Lytechinus pictus: one gene and its partner. The main gene of each other region encodes a partner of the protein of the gene in region 2 in a complex. Links are inferred from orthologs where the notes say so. Each region holds a gene or a part of one and is shown on either strand. Other genes may lie near its edges. The genes, in order: LYR motif-containing protein 4-like and iron-sulfur cluster assembly scaffold protein IscU-like.

Region 1 (8,255 bases), on a different chromosome or scaffold from region 2:
TATTTTTGACAAGCTGTATTCCTGTCCAAGTCAAATTTCTTAGTTCTCTCCAAAACTGTGCTCAAAATTGTTTCCAAGATTGATAAAGAATTTTTTTCTTTTGTATCATTATCAGTCTACAACTTGCAAACCGTAGGTCCTGGAAAGAGTGAAGAAAAAAATGGCTATATCCAAATCATAGTAAAAGGACATGATGGAATCTCCCAGATTGAGGTAGCAAGCCGAGACCAGAAGTCACCAGAGTCAGCAATTGTGCAGATCTGTGTGTAGAAGAGAGAAAAAAAGAAATAGTTTAAATAATCAAATCAAAGTATGAATTTAATTATCGTGATGATTGATGACGTGCGGTGGCATGTAATTCCCGGTCAACAACAAATGATAGTAGGTTTAGACACCTGAAAAGTTCCACTCAGAACACTGGTGCTCTACCTCAAGTGATGTTTGTGTAGGCCCCACTCCACTTCACTACCGCTACACTACCGCACATGTACGCCACACCTACCCGGGTAGGTGTGTAGCGTAGTGTAGGCTGTAGCAGTACTCCAGTAGTGAAGTGGAGACTACACGAACATCACTTGAGGTACGGTGCTCTCTGAGTCTCTGTGTCATTACAAAGATTGCATTTATCTTCATTGTTGAAGGCATTACGCATACATATATGCAGCAACACTCTAATCAGAAAGTAACACCAGACTCTAATTTTGGCCCACCCAAGGGTTCATTACATGCCGCCGCGCACAGAAAATTCAAGCCATAGAAGTCGTGAACCCAAGAAGTGAGATCCCAGCACGCGCGACCCACTAGTTAGAAATCCACTGCCAAACGCGGTTCGTGGTTAGTATACTAATACTAACCTCGCAATACGTACTAGTAGTATACTAATACTAACCTCGCAATACGTGTGAGTGATTTTGGCCAGGAATCAGGGTAATCACTGCTGAAAATTTGTCTGGCTTCATGACATCGGCATCATGGTGTGTAATTCTGTGTATAATAAAAACTTAAACATTCCTCTGAAACAGCAGATTTTCAGCCATGGTCCATACCACTCAGTGCTCCTAAATAATTTAATCGCCTGCCTGAGTCCTGACCAGTTTTAGAAATCTGAAGAAAAAATCTGCTGGAATTGTGCCACTCACACGTATTAAGTATACTAACCTCGCACCACGAACCGCGTTTGGCAGTGGATTTCTAACTAGTGGGTTGCGCGTGCTTAGCCTGGAGGCGTCTGGGATCTCACTTCTTGGGTCCACAACACACGACTTCTATGGCTTGATTTTTCTGTGCGTGGCGGCATGTAATGAACCCTTGGGTGGAATTGTGCAAAAACATTATTTCTAAAATAAAAACTTTTTAATTTTGATAGTAGTTATGCCAAAATGCATGATTCTAAACTTATATCAGATCTGTATCTGTCATCTGACCTGAATGCATCGTCAGAACAAGTACAGTTTCCAAACATGCTTACCTTGACTTTTGACTGGATCAAACAGCGTAGCCTGCAACATGCATCGGGAGCAAGTGAATGGGACCGTGCAGCTTGGAGTTTTTCAATAGTTAGTAGAGCAACACAACGAAGACTGTCGAGTGGACAAAATCGATCTTTCCAGTTCACAATTCAATAAAAAACGGGCAAAATAACACAGTTCTGGTTCCCTTATAGTCTGAAGTTGTCGAAAACAGAATTCGGATGTCACATTACATGAAGAAAACGGTAAATTCGGAAGATATTGAAGAGGTCAGTAAGGTGATTCAGTGTATTATGCACAGAGCTAGAGGGATGATGAGCTCGATTATTGTGTGACGTCATTATTCTCGACTGTTTTCACTGCGTGAACTCATCGGTCTGGGGGCGGCTGGGGGGCTTAGAATGGTCTCTAATAATTTCATTTCTTGCATTTCCACGACATCAATAAGACTTTTTAGTGACATATTTGTGTATAAAAAGACAAGACCTTTCCATTCATATATAATTTGTCTATAATCATCACAAATCGTGAATTTTCTTTGGATGTATACTTTAAAGAATTTAACCGATAGAGGTAGAGGGGGAGGGGTGGGGGCTAGGGCTGGACAGTCAGCCTAGGGACGTTTTCCAAGTGTTCAGAAAAAAAGTGAGTAAAATTCCATTACACATTAAGCTCCGTGATTTAGCTCAAAATTCTGCAAATTTTGATGAATTTAAATCTGCTCGATCCGGATCGACATCATTTTAGGGATATTTATGCCTGATGGCCTCAATTGGGCCGCGTCCAGTCAAATCCAATCCATTTTATATAGGCATATTTGGGGGTATTCAAAAATGTATAAATCAATTAAAATAGCTATAATCTCTGTATCAAAATATCTACAGTTGCCTCTCGGTGCTAAAAATTGCCGGGCTGCTGTTTTTTTTTTTTTTTTGCATCGGTTAGAGATTTCAAGTTTCAAAAGATTAGAATTCATTTGAAGATTTAAAGGATCATAATTATTTCAAAACCTAAATGTTTATATTTTTCCAATAATTACTAGTATTTTTTCCCGTAGTAATGTTGCAGAAATCTATCATTTCGACTAATGCTTGTATGATACACAATTATTTTTATTACGAAAAGTGCTTGAACATATTTCGTTTTCAGCTCTTATGATCAAACTAAATTGTTCAGCCCACACTTAATTGCCCTCGCATTGGTTGTATAGGCATTTTGTTCATTAATTTTTATTACAAAAAGTGTTTGAAATGGTTTCGGGTCTGAATGTTATACAAAAATGTTCAGCTTGTATTATTGATTTTGGATAATTATCATTAACAATAATGTTCCTTTTTCAGATCACCGTTGACCCATACAGGCGCGGATCCAGGAGGGGGCCGAGCCGGCCCCGGCCCCCCCTATTTTTTGTCAACCTGCAGAAAAAAAGTATACTCTTTAACTTGATAGAAACTACGAAAAACGGCCGACCCGACCCCGAAAGGAAACAAGAAAAAGGTGAGGGGAAGAATTGAAAAATAGACTTTATATAATAATTTGTGCTCGCGTTTCGCGCTCGCATTGCCTGTGTAATGAATCCCATTCAAGAGGATTAAATGACACTTAATATAACCAGTTCTATAATCAATTTGCACACAATATTTTAGCTCACACATCAAGCTTTCATTATTATGTTTGATTTACACAAATTGTTAATGTATATCAAAATTTTCAGCTCGCGCTGCGCGCTCGCATTGTTTGATTAGTGAGATACCTATCCTCTTTGAAAGTTTTTACCAAAATTTGTCAAAATGCTCCTTTATCATGTAAATATATCAAAAAATTAAGCTCGTGCTTCGCGCTCGCATTTAATTGTTTGAGACACACAGCCTGTTCTTTATTTAAATAAAAAACGCGCTTAGACTGTTCAATTTTCAGGTCGGAATATCAAAAATTTTGAGCTCGCGCTTCGCACTCTCATTATTAAATTGGTGATACTTGTATCCTCTTCATTAATCACTAATCACTAATTGAGTCCCTTTTCACGTTACTATAATAAAATTTCGGCTCGCGCTTCGCGCTCGCATTGTTTAGTTGTTCATGAATATAAAAACTGCTCAGAATCTTCAATTCTAAGGACATCAAATATCAAAGAATTTTCGCTCGCGCCTCGCGCTAGCATTATATATCAAGACCACATGAGATACCTTAACTTGTTTATAACAAAAAAACTAACATATACTAAAAACTTCAGTCTTTAGTTAGGACTACCCCCTGAAAAGCCAACAAAAAATCAGATGATAGCGGCCAATCGAGAAAAATGTTGATGAAAATATTTTTCGGCCCCCCCTATTGGAGAAAGCTGGATCCGCCCCTGCCATAGGCCCGCTGTATAAAAATTTTCAGCTGTTGCTCATCGTATACTTTTTCGTTGTTAAGTCTATAGATCTCAATATTTTTTTTAGCTTGCTCCAATTAAGTTCGCACTTGGCATTTTTAGCGAGATACGAGACGTATCGATCTATTTATGATCAAATATAAAAATAGTGCTCAGATCAGGTTATTCGGGTTTATAATATATCAAAATCAGTCAGTCAGTCCTTGAAATAATCCTCTATATATCTACTGATTATAATTTTGTAAAGCAAATGTTAAAGGTCTCAAGGACTACCCCCTTTGTGACAGATAATTTTTTTCCCGACTCTCCATATTGGCACTCCGATTGGACATTGCTGGATCTGTCCCGCCATCAAGGGTCAGGTCCCGACGATTCTTAAGAGGCGGTGTTGTTTTGAATTTGACAAGCAAGCAAGCATGCAAAAAAAATGAAGGTGATTTTGATCCAAGAAAAATTTAGAAAAACGGGGTAAAATATTAAATGGATCTTTCATTTTCAGATTTTTTTGGTAAATCAAATGCTTGCTCGCGAAACTTAATTTAGATAGTGACACAACATTTGCTCCGGGCCTTATTTTTGTCTAAGATGGAGGGTTATAATTATAGAGCAGGGAGTCTCGGTCTGGTTAGAGTTAGTATAGTATACATGGTAAAATTATGTTAGGTTATTAGGGTAAGGTTTAGGGTAGGTAGGATGTAAGGTTTAGGATAGGATATATAGGCCTAATATAGTGTTAAATCCAGCCGTTGAATTCAGTCATTCGACTGTCGCCGGAGCAAACGGGAACCGTTTTTACAGACCCCCCCCCCCCCCCCGAGGCACCCGGTCATGGCAACTCGGAGTAGAGTGGATGATGATGATGATGCACAGCATTTTTATCAGTAGCGCCATATATCTGTCAAAGATACAAATAAGGCGCATTTTTGAAGGAGCCAGCCAATCTGGGTCCTATATAGTGCATACATTAACCAAAAATGATAAGAATTTTCCCTCCCTATGCATGAACATGATGGCCCTGGGAAGCGATCGAGGATGCACCCCAAGATTCAACTTGGGGTGCTGACTGTACCGTACATGTGTTATTCACCATGTATTAGTAAAAAAATAACTTTTTTTGGGGGGGGTCCAATTTTTCCTAGTACCGAAATCACCATCATTTTGTAGCGATCGACCCCCCTTTTCTTTGCTTGTCAAATTTAAACCAGCACCCCCAATACAAAAATCGTTCCCGTGTGTATGAAATCACTTACATCATTCTTTCACAGATGGTAAGGAGTGCATTAGCAATATACTCCCGCATTTACTTCCCCTGAATCGCCACGCACTGATCAGTGTGTACCGCTTAGAATGAGTTATCACACAAAGTAATCACATTATTTTATTTTGGGTCCAACACATGCAGTCAAGTCGAAAACGGCAATCATTGATGTCTATTGCGTTTACTCTTCGCTGAACGAACGTGAAGCCTCCAGTAGAAATAATTTTACGGATAAATGGCCGCTGCTCAAGTTCATAGGATGAAAATATTGAGCCTGTACAGAGAAATGCTACGGGAAGCCCAGAAATTCACTGGATATAATTACAGGTTAGAGTGGAAATTCCATGCTTTAATAATGCACGTTTTTTATGTATGACATATATATAATATTTAGTCCCATGTACTCGAAACGACGTATGGTAATGATATTCATTATGTAACACCTTTCATTTCATATATTTTTACGAACTACATGTACTCAAAAGTTCAAAACTCACAAAATTTAGATCTAAGTTGATTTCATATTGTAAATTACTGATCACTTGGAAGCATAGGTGCTCTATTATAATATGGTCAATTTATGTAGCAAGAAAGTAGAATAATTATTAATATTATGACATGTTTTTGAAGTATAATTATAAAACTAAAAGTTCACCACTCATCGAATCCGACCAATTTGATTGAAATTCATCTGCAAAAAAAAACAACCATGTTGCCATATAAAAGTAGATTTTTACCCTTGGGCCTGGCCTTATGAATAAACAAAATTTTACTTTGCATTCAAACCAACTTTGCATATGACGTGTAACTTTATTTATTTTTTGCTTTTTATGATGAAAACAGTAACTTTTCCTTCCTCAGCTCAGCCTGAGAGTGAGAGACATGGTAATGGCTGCATTTACCGTTAAAGGCATTATGGATGTACAATGTAATTTGTAATTGTAGAGCATAAGAGCTACATCATACAGTATCTATGCACCTGCAGGTAAATGTTATATAAATCATTGCTATTTACTAAAAACATGATAGACCTTGTTAGGTTTTTATAATGATATTTTAGCTTAATGATGAGGTATTTTCAGGGAACTGATGTAATTTTAAACAAAATTGTTATGATGTCAAATTACTGTGCTCTATAATTTTTGGCATCTATCTATCTATCTATTGATATATCTATTTATGTATTTATCTATCTATCTATCTACATGTATCTATCTAATAATCTATCTATCTCTCTCCCTGTAATCATTGTTCTAATCTGTTTCTTTTTTTTTTCATTTCTTTTTATTGTCAGGACGTATGCAGTGAGGAGGATACGAGATGCCTTTCAAGAACACAAAGCAGAAACAAATCCAGAGCTTATAGAAGGATACATCAAGAAGGCTGAGGATAATTTGAACATTATCAGAAGACAGGTAATATAGACAAACACTGTATTCAGTCCCAGGGGTAGTGCCAGTGTATTTTGATAGGGAGGAGAAGGGGGGAGGGGCAAAGCAACAGGACAACCTAAAGGGGAAGTCTATTTATAGAGTAACATGATGACCCATACATGTACTTGTCATTTTGATACTCTACTTTGTTCTTTTTTTCTTTATTTTTTTCTTTGCAAATCACAATCACAATCAATCAATGTACAATGTACGTCTGGAGGCAAACAAACTAAATTGTGTTACAGAAAGCCATATGATGGATGTTTGGCCCAGAATATATAGATTTTAGTTGTCATAAGGTTAATAAAAAAAACCATATATTCAAAGAAGGGTCTCTGAACATAGACTGACAAATCTTGATACAATCGGATGGAGCTTACTGTACATGTAGTAATAGTAGTAGAAGAAGTAATATTAGTAGCAGTAGTAGTAGAAGCATTAGCAAAAGCAGTAGTTGTAGGAGTAGTGTCAATGTTAACTTGAAGTCAAGTATAATGTTAACTTTCACTTATTCTTAAAGGCCACTATCAGCCAACTTTACAGGGAACCTAAGCTGGTTATTGAAAGTGATTCAGTGAAGACAAGCTAACCAAAGAAAGTGTCAACTTCTGGACAGTTTCCTATGCAAATAACAAGGATGATGTAAGTGACAGTATCTGAGGATTTGGGGAAGCAATATTTTGACTCCCAAATATTACTTGTCTCTTCTGATGAAGAACTTGTTTCCCATTTTAATCAGAGGGAGAGGATACCAGATGAAAGAATGATTGCATCATTGCAGCTATGGAATAGAATGAGATGGAGACAAATATTTCATGAATTTTTAGTTTGAGGTGTGCTTGTTCCTAAGCTCATAATGTGTACATGTGTCATGTGCATGTTACATGTCATCAATTTTTAACATGCTGGCATTTCATTTAAAGTGGGGAGGGTGGGTTCAAAACAAGGTAAATGAATAGATAAAAAATATTCAAAGGATTTTTGATGAACATCAAAATTTTATATGACACCTGTCATCAATAGTGAAAATGAAAAGGTTGTCATTTGACCCAGATGCTTTTTCCCAGATTTGCCATGAGATATGTACTTGTTTATTGTTTAAACTTTGATAGGTGAAAGTGGAATGTATTTTTTAATAATTATCTTTACCCAAGATTCTCCTTTTTTCTGAATATTTCTGGATATGGCTGTATTCAAGCAGCTAAGCATTGGTCTATGGTCATAATAAAGAATTAAGAATCCGTTCAAAACAAAATCATGAAAACAGGCCTGCATGAAAAGCTAGAATTAGTGTGTTTTGGATAATTATTTTGAAGATTCTAGATAGCTAAAATTCACTTGAACAATGGAGATTCAATCCTTCGTGAATGAAGTCATTATATAGCCTGCATCTTTTTCTGGCATGCACTTACATCACTTACATTCATCAGGTTTAAACTATAATTCCTGGTTCAAACTATGGACCTACATGGTCAAATTATGCAGTAGTGTGGCAGTATCAAGACTTGAATGTGGGAGGATCAACATTGATAAATTTCACTGGAACAGTCTCCCACAATCGGTCCCACAATCGGTCACACTGAGTGTGTGTGTTGTATCAGATTTTTGATGTATGACTTTTGCTTCATGATATTAGTTTAAAGGTGCAAGATCCTGGCGCTGTTGGACAAAACGTGTACTCACCACCATCTTCATTACGAAGATCATCAAGGTAATTT
Region 2 (7,326 bases):
CGATCTATGATCATCTATCATGAGCAATCATCATCTAGGTTGTGTACAGTGTATTTACCGATCTTCCTTTGATCCACTCAGTGGCTAATGAACTTGATGCTATTGCTGACCCACAACCAAATGTCTTGAACTTGGCATCTACTATCTTTCCATCATCACCAACTTTGATCTGTAAAAATAGAGATTGTGAGAGAAAGAGAGAAGGGGTAGGAGGGAGTGAAAGCAAGGGAAGGAGGAGAGGGTAAAGGGGGAGAGGGAGAGAAAGAGTAAGAAAAACAAAGAAAGAAGAAAGAGAGAGAGATTAAGATATCTTTTTTTTCTTTATTATAGATTATTTCAGAGCAATTACCTATTTCTTTTACCCCAGTGAGTACACAACTTTGGTATGGAGAGTAATCTGCCTTTGTTCCTCAAATTGGCACGGTGTTGCCAATTTAAAGTCAGTGCTGATAATGCAAAGTCAATTGAGACTTGTGAGCATTCAAGATAAAGAAAAATACTGGTTACATTCTTAGGAAAATCCTGCCTGATATCTCACTGATTTTACTATTTAAATAAAATTTAAAAAAAAAACAAAAAACACCGAAATGAATGAATGAATGAAAAATGCTTTGCAAAATGACTTATTGATATTCATTTTATACTTTGAACTTGACATCTCTAGATGTTGTCATTAACAGCTGAACAATATTTTTTCATAATTGTTACTTAACCTTATATTCTAATTTTACAGTCAGTCACAAGAATCATAACGGAATAACTTTCTAAATCAAAGCTTACCTGTAGTTTCATGACGTCACCACATGCTGGTGCACCAACCAACCCTGTGCCAACATTCTTGTCATTCTTGTCCATTGCTCCAACATTCCTTGGGTTCTCGTAGTGATCTATCACCTAAGAATACAAAGATAAATAGGAGATGAGATCAGTTGGATCAAGACAGGTTAGACTAAGATAAGCTTCACGATGGATTACTACTTGCACACATTTCTTGCACTGTGTGATTGACAAGCAAGTAGCAGATGCTTTGGAGAGTAACCTTGCATTTAAAGAATGAAACGTTTGGAACGAGATAGCTTGTGTGAAAACAGAAAACTCAAAGAAACTGATCAACGAAAGTTTGAGAAAAAATCAGACAAATAATGAAAAAGTTATGAGCATTTGAATATTGCGATCACTAATGCTATAGAGATCCTCCCATTGGCAATGCGACAAAGATGTGTGATGTCACTTGTGAACAACTCTCCCCATTTCTTTAGTATATATTTCACTTGAACTGCCTCTTTTATTACATCTATCAGTAGATCATGTGTTCTTTCTGTAGGAGGGCATGTAATACAGATTTTTAAAGAATACATCATGGATAAAGAGTTTGTATCACCATAACAAAAAGCAAAAGGAGACATTTTGGGGGTATTTTATAGTCCATCAAAGAAAAAGTTGTTCACATGAGACATCACACATCCTTGTTGCATTGCCAATAGGAGGATCTCCATAGCATTAGTGATTGCAATATTCAAATGATCATAACTTTCTAATTATTTGTCAGATTTTTCTCAAACTTTCTTTGTTCTTATTCTTTGATTTTTTCGTTTCGACACAAGCCTACTTATTCCAAAGGTTTCATTCCCCTTTTAACTACGTTTCAAAGGTATTGTATTTATTGGTAGACTCTACCCATATTTTATCAAATAATCATAAGAATTGCACATAGGGTCTACAAAGAATTTAGACACAGTTATAAAACTACTGACGAGCTGAATTAAGGTTGTGAATATTAATAGCGCGGCACTTTTAAAATTAGCAACCCTAATTTAGCTCGTTAGCGCCACCATCAGGCATGTCGGGCTTCCTTTTACTTCTGTGGAAGAGTATGCAACACCACTTTCGAGCTTTCCAAAAAAGTAAGCAACTTTTCTATTCTTTAAATTGAATTTCAATGTTTAAATCTACTTCTGTTATGAAGTGATGTTTACTGACTTCTCAAAAATCCACTGTCACTGACTCACGGCACTGACTGTGACGTGTAGTGCCTGGTTAGTATAGCTATAGCTAACCTCGAATTGGGCGACGTGATACACATGCAGGCAGGCTCGCACTAACACACTACCATGACTACCGTCGGTGGGTGGGGATTACATACTAAAAAATGTAAGAAATTGGGCGCTAATGCAGTTTCGCACCGGCCGATTACCAGCATACCTCATCACCACTAAATTTACTTGTCCCCAAATGTCATGACAAGTCTCTCAGTCACATTTCGAGGTCAATATATACCTACCTCTTTTCCAAATATCGCGATCAGGAACGGCTGTATTTCAGCTTTGATCTCAATGTCGTTGTTCGAATCCTCAGACATCACTTCACGGATCTTGGCCTTGGATTCGCCGGGCACCGTAATGTTGATGGACTGAAGTTAGCAACCAAATCATGCGAACATGTGGCGAACTGCCAGCATGCTGCAGCTAGGCGAATCTTTTGCCTTGGTCGCATAACTTCAGTCCAAAAAGGTGGGTATATTGACCTGGAAATGTGACTGACAGACTTGTCATGACATTTGGGAACAAGTATTGGTAATGAGGTATGCTGGTAATCGGCTGGTGCGAAACTGCATTAGCGCCAATTTTGAGGAAAAATTTCAGACTTAAAACTTTTCCATTATTACAAAATGGTATTGGTATTACATGTTCCTATTTATAGGGACATGAGAAAGGGGCTTAACATTATACCTTACAGTATTGTTAAGCGTAAGCCCCTTTCTCATGGTTTGCTGCAACTAACTAACTACACATTTGACCGGAAACTGCCACCTGGTTTTACCAACTGCAACCTTACACACAAACTCAGCTCCGCGCGCTCTCACTCGGCTTTGATACTAGTACCAGTGGTAGTGGTACTGTAGCCGTGTAGGCAGCCTTCTCATCTCATTCTTCTCATAATTTTCTGGTCGCCACAAAAAGATGTACTCACATTTTTATGATACGAGGCTGATGCAGGAACCGGTTGAACTAACTTTGTTGCCAGTAGAGGCCGCAAAGTCTTCCCAAGTAGTCGTGCATTGCTTGAAATTGGCATTTTGATGTCACAAATTTGTATTCGTCGCAGTCAGAATAAGCGAAAACAGCGGATTGCGTAAAGTTGTTTATCATTATCACGTGACACATGTCACGTCACATGGCCTATGGGTAAATATTAATTAAAATAAGGATTTCCCCTCTCAGTCTCTCTCCCCCCCTCTCTCTTTTCCACTCTTTCGCTCCCTCCCTTAATATTATGTTATCATAGACCATTTTATCCACCGTAATACATTGGATGAAGACAGAGAGAAAAAAAATGAATCTACAAATAAAAAATGAATGAATGAATAAATAAATTAATTAATTGAAAAAAAAAAGATAAATAAATGAATGAATGAATGAATGAATGAATTAATGAATGAATAAATGAATGAATGAATTAAATGAATAAACAATAAATCAATAATTAAATGAGAACGAAGAAATAAACGAGACAAAAAGTTGAATAAGTAATAAATAAATGCATAAATTACTTAATGAAATAGATAAAGAAATTAAGCAACGAAGAAAAATTAACAGTAAGGCAGAACTTCCAATAGGCCCTATATATATTTATGCCTATTTTTCTATTTTTTTGTCAAGGATTCTAATTACACTATACATAATAGTTGCAAATAGTGGCAAATTAACACGTATTTCTTCTTTTTCATGTACACGTACTCTACAGTTGTAAATATTGGCATTTCTTTATGTATTAGTTTCAGATTATATCAATTGCAAATTAAGACTTCATATTTCTTTTTGATCCTGCAGACCTGACAAGCTTTGCTTTTTTTAATGCAGGTTCCCTAATATTTCACCATATTTTGAACTGTCCTTGATTTCAAATCGCCGTATTATTTAATTAAAAAGATGAATATGCTGCCATGTCTTATTTTTCATACGATATTCATTCGGATGTTATATAATTGTGTGAAATATATGTAAGTCAATCACGTTACTATCGAAAATATAGCTCGATACGCCGGCATCGCTTTACATTCTCACGTTCAAGTATCCTAGTAAATGATGATAATAGACACAATTTTTTTTTTTTTTTTTGGGGGGGTCCTTTATATTTTTTTCTTGTTTTTTTATCATTCTGTGCAATAAATCACAGATAATCAATACAAGTAGGGCCTAATTGAGAAAAAGAAATGAGAGAAAAAATAATAGAGCAATAGAATTGTCATCATTTGGAAACAATTAATACGACATATCAATTAACAATGATTAACAAGTAGTTAATGTAGTCACTTTGTCTCTTCTATATACGTATTCCTCATCCCCTATAATAATATTAAAGGGGAAGTTCACCCTGACAAAAAGTTTATTGTGAAAATATCCTAGAAAAAAATAATAAACTAATATTGCCGCCTGAGGTTTGAGAAAAATCGATCAAAGAATAAACAAGTTATTCGAATTTTAATTATTTGATTTGTGACGTCATATGCGAGCAGCTTTCCTACAATATGGCAAAATCAACTGATCAATGAAATGTCATTTTCCCAGAAAATTGAAAATGTTTCTTTTTCTGTGCCTTCAGTATATCAATAGACAATGATTCCGCACCCGTTCCTAAAAAGAAACCAGGAATATTCACGGCCACAAATACGGACCATTACAAAATTGGATGCATTTTATATTACATAACATGTTGGGCTACCCGTTGGGCTATTGCTCGTTTATGACGTCACAAATCCAAAACTTAACCATGTTAAAATTCTTCTCAAACCTTCACCAATATGTTTGATTATTTATTTTTTCTGCCGGCTATTTTTACAACAAACTTTTCTACAGGGTGATCGGGCCCCTTTAAAGGCAAGAAAGTAGCAACAGTGGGATCTTTGCACGCGTTGGGGGATAGTAATGACAATATTATGATTTCCTTGTTATTTTCTTTAATGTAAGATTTTCATATTGCACGGTCATTATTATATAGATGTTATCCAAGAACTATTGCTTTTTTATTAGCTTATCTAATTTGAAGGAAGGGGAGAAAATTTATTATTACGATTGTTGAATTTAATCGCACGAATGGGCAAGATTGCAACATCAGCGCGTAAGAACAAGTTAGATTCAGGCTCATCAAGACATTGTTAGTTGTAAAATAATTATGATAGTAAATAACTTACAACTTAAATCTAAATTCCGAAAATAATTTGTAAGTTTATTATTTTTTCTTGGCAATATGAGATGCGAGACACTGCTAATACCTCGGTCACATTTGCTTTACGGCAGCCGTACGGCGAGTCGAAAGCACCCGTTATATTCATTTTTTCAAACCACCTATATGAAGCTGGTACACAAAATATTTAACGGCTGTTTTCGATTCGCCTTACGGCGGCCGTAGAGCAAACGTGACCAAGGTATTATATGATTGATATTTCTTTCTATGACATTTGAGGGATGAACGGGAAGATAGCCAATCGTGGTGCATCCCATCAAAGTAAGATGGGTCACTCCAAGGGCTACCTGTTCCCTCTAGAAAAATTCCTCACAGACTATTTAAGCTGTGGAACCTAGGGCTACCTAGGCTCGTTATTTTCCTTACTCATTAGTTTAAGGCATGCCGCCGAAGAGGGCACTCAACCATCCCAACCAAAATAAAGATATTTGTTGTAGCAGTTAGTAAAGAGATGCAATGTTATAGATTGCACATTAATTAATAATCCATAGGTGCTGTGCTTATATATAAATGCGTAACCTGGTTGGTAATTAATTGGAAGATAATGAGACTAAAGATTTTTGCGTCTTGATTTTCTGAATAGATTTTTATCCGCATGTTTGCCTGTAAACGATGATCAATCACAAGGAATGATATTCATAATTACTCATACATATTTATGATGTATGGTAAGCCATATGTGCAATAGGAATACAGAATCGCTTGAATAATTCCAAGTGATATAAATGTGTTGGTTTGTTGAATATGAAGCAAACAGGATAAGATATTTAGCTGGTTACAATTTAGGTCAAAACCATATGACTGTCTCGATCCGGGGGAGGAGGGGGGGGGGTGGGAGATATATCCTTAATTATTTGTAGGTGGGAGGGGATGACCTAAGTTATCATCACCCAATAATTCGATAAACATCATAATATATTTCAATATGATGAAGCGTATGACATGTACGATCATAATAGAATGACAATGATGATGATGAATAATAATGATAATAATAATAATCATCATATCAATAATAATACTAATAACATTACTACTACTACTAGTAGTACTACTACTACAACAACAACAACTACTACTACTACTACAACAAGTAAAAATAATAATAACAATAATAATAATAATAATGATGATGATGATGATGATGATTGTACGTCAAGATGGTGGTAGTGATGTTTATTGTATTTACGCTTGATGACAATTGAAAGTGTTTTTCTCATAATGTTCTTGATCGCTTTAGAATGAAACCACTCATTTTTGAAACTGTTACAAACATATAGACGGAAAAAGAAAATAAAAATCAGGATCAAACAGAATAACATGTTCATGTCTCTGTATTGATATATCATATCTTTTTCTTCAAAATTCCTTTTTGTTACCTCTTCCTGCATGCAACCAAGCAAAATGCGGTTTGTCCCGTTTATTTTACCAACATTTGGCATATAATTCATTTTTCATAGTTTTCCTATTCTGGTTAATGATGTGAAATAATTGGAGAACACACGAAATTTGTGAGAAGTAGAGTGTAAGGAAAGAACCTTGAAAACCGATAAGAGTCCTGAAAATAATTTATTTCCAGGTCAATTAAAAAAAAAAAATTAGCTCGAGCTTTAATTGCGAGAGCATTATTGATCTGATCCTATAGTCCTAGACGAACACAACACTGGAAATATCTTGGATGCAAGACGAACTAAATCGTATTTTGAGCTGTTGTCTTGTTTCATTGTAGGCCTGTAACACTCTTTTCAAACACAAATATTTTAATTTCTCTATAGCAATGTAAACGGTTTATATTGGTCTGCAATTCGTTGATTGATCTACTTCTCAGGAATAATTTCTGATAGTCTTATCTGATAGCATAATATCACGGTTTTTTGTCAATTTCGTCTTATTGCCACAATGGTCTACATTTTTAAGGCGTTGCAATTTATTCTCTTCTTGAAGATAAACTCATGTAAAATTGATTTGTCGATCAAGTTATGTGAAACCCCGAAAACCTCCTGCTTTTGCGAATATGACATCTAAATTTGAGTCATATTTGCATACTGAAAGCTTAACTCTTTAATTTTAAAGAATAAAATC

What was found.
Region 1: iron-sulfur cluster assembly scaffold protein IscU-like (region 2) and LYR motif-containing protein 4-like share a complex: the UniProt entries of both Drosophila melanogaster proteins name them as parts of the mitochondrial core iron-sulfur cluster (ISC) assembly complex. The link is inferred for Lytechinus pictus from reciprocal best matches to the Drosophila melanogaster genes IscU and bcn92.

Annotation. Positions count from the first base shown.
Region 1 is NC_087246.1:65,511,519-65,519,773, forward strand, and holds the start of LYR motif-containing protein 4-like, read left to right. Parts: upstream 1-5,107; 5' UTR 5,108-5,339; coding exon 5,340-5,431; intron 5,432-6,398; coding exon 6,399-6,519; intron 6,520-7,057; coding exon 7,058-7,126; 3' UTR 7,127-8,255. UniProt on the Drosophila melanogaster protein: Stabilizing factor of the core iron-sulfur cluster (ISC) assembly complex that regulates the stability and cysteine desulfurase activity of Nfs1 and participates in the [2Fe-2S] clusters assembly on the scaffolding protein IscU.
Region 2 is NC_087248.1:21,450,462-21,457,787, reverse strand, and holds the start of iron-sulfur cluster assembly scaffold protein IscU-like, read right to left. Parts: upstream 3,300-7,326; 5' UTR 3,076-3,299; coding exon 2,971-3,075; intron 895-2,970; coding exon 781-894; intron 170-780; coding exon 59-169; intron 1-58. UniProt on the Drosophila melanogaster protein: Scaffold protein for the de novo synthesis of iron-sulfur (Fe-S) clusters within mitochondria, which is required for maturation of both mitochondrial and cytoplasmic [2Fe-2S] and [4Fe-4S] proteins.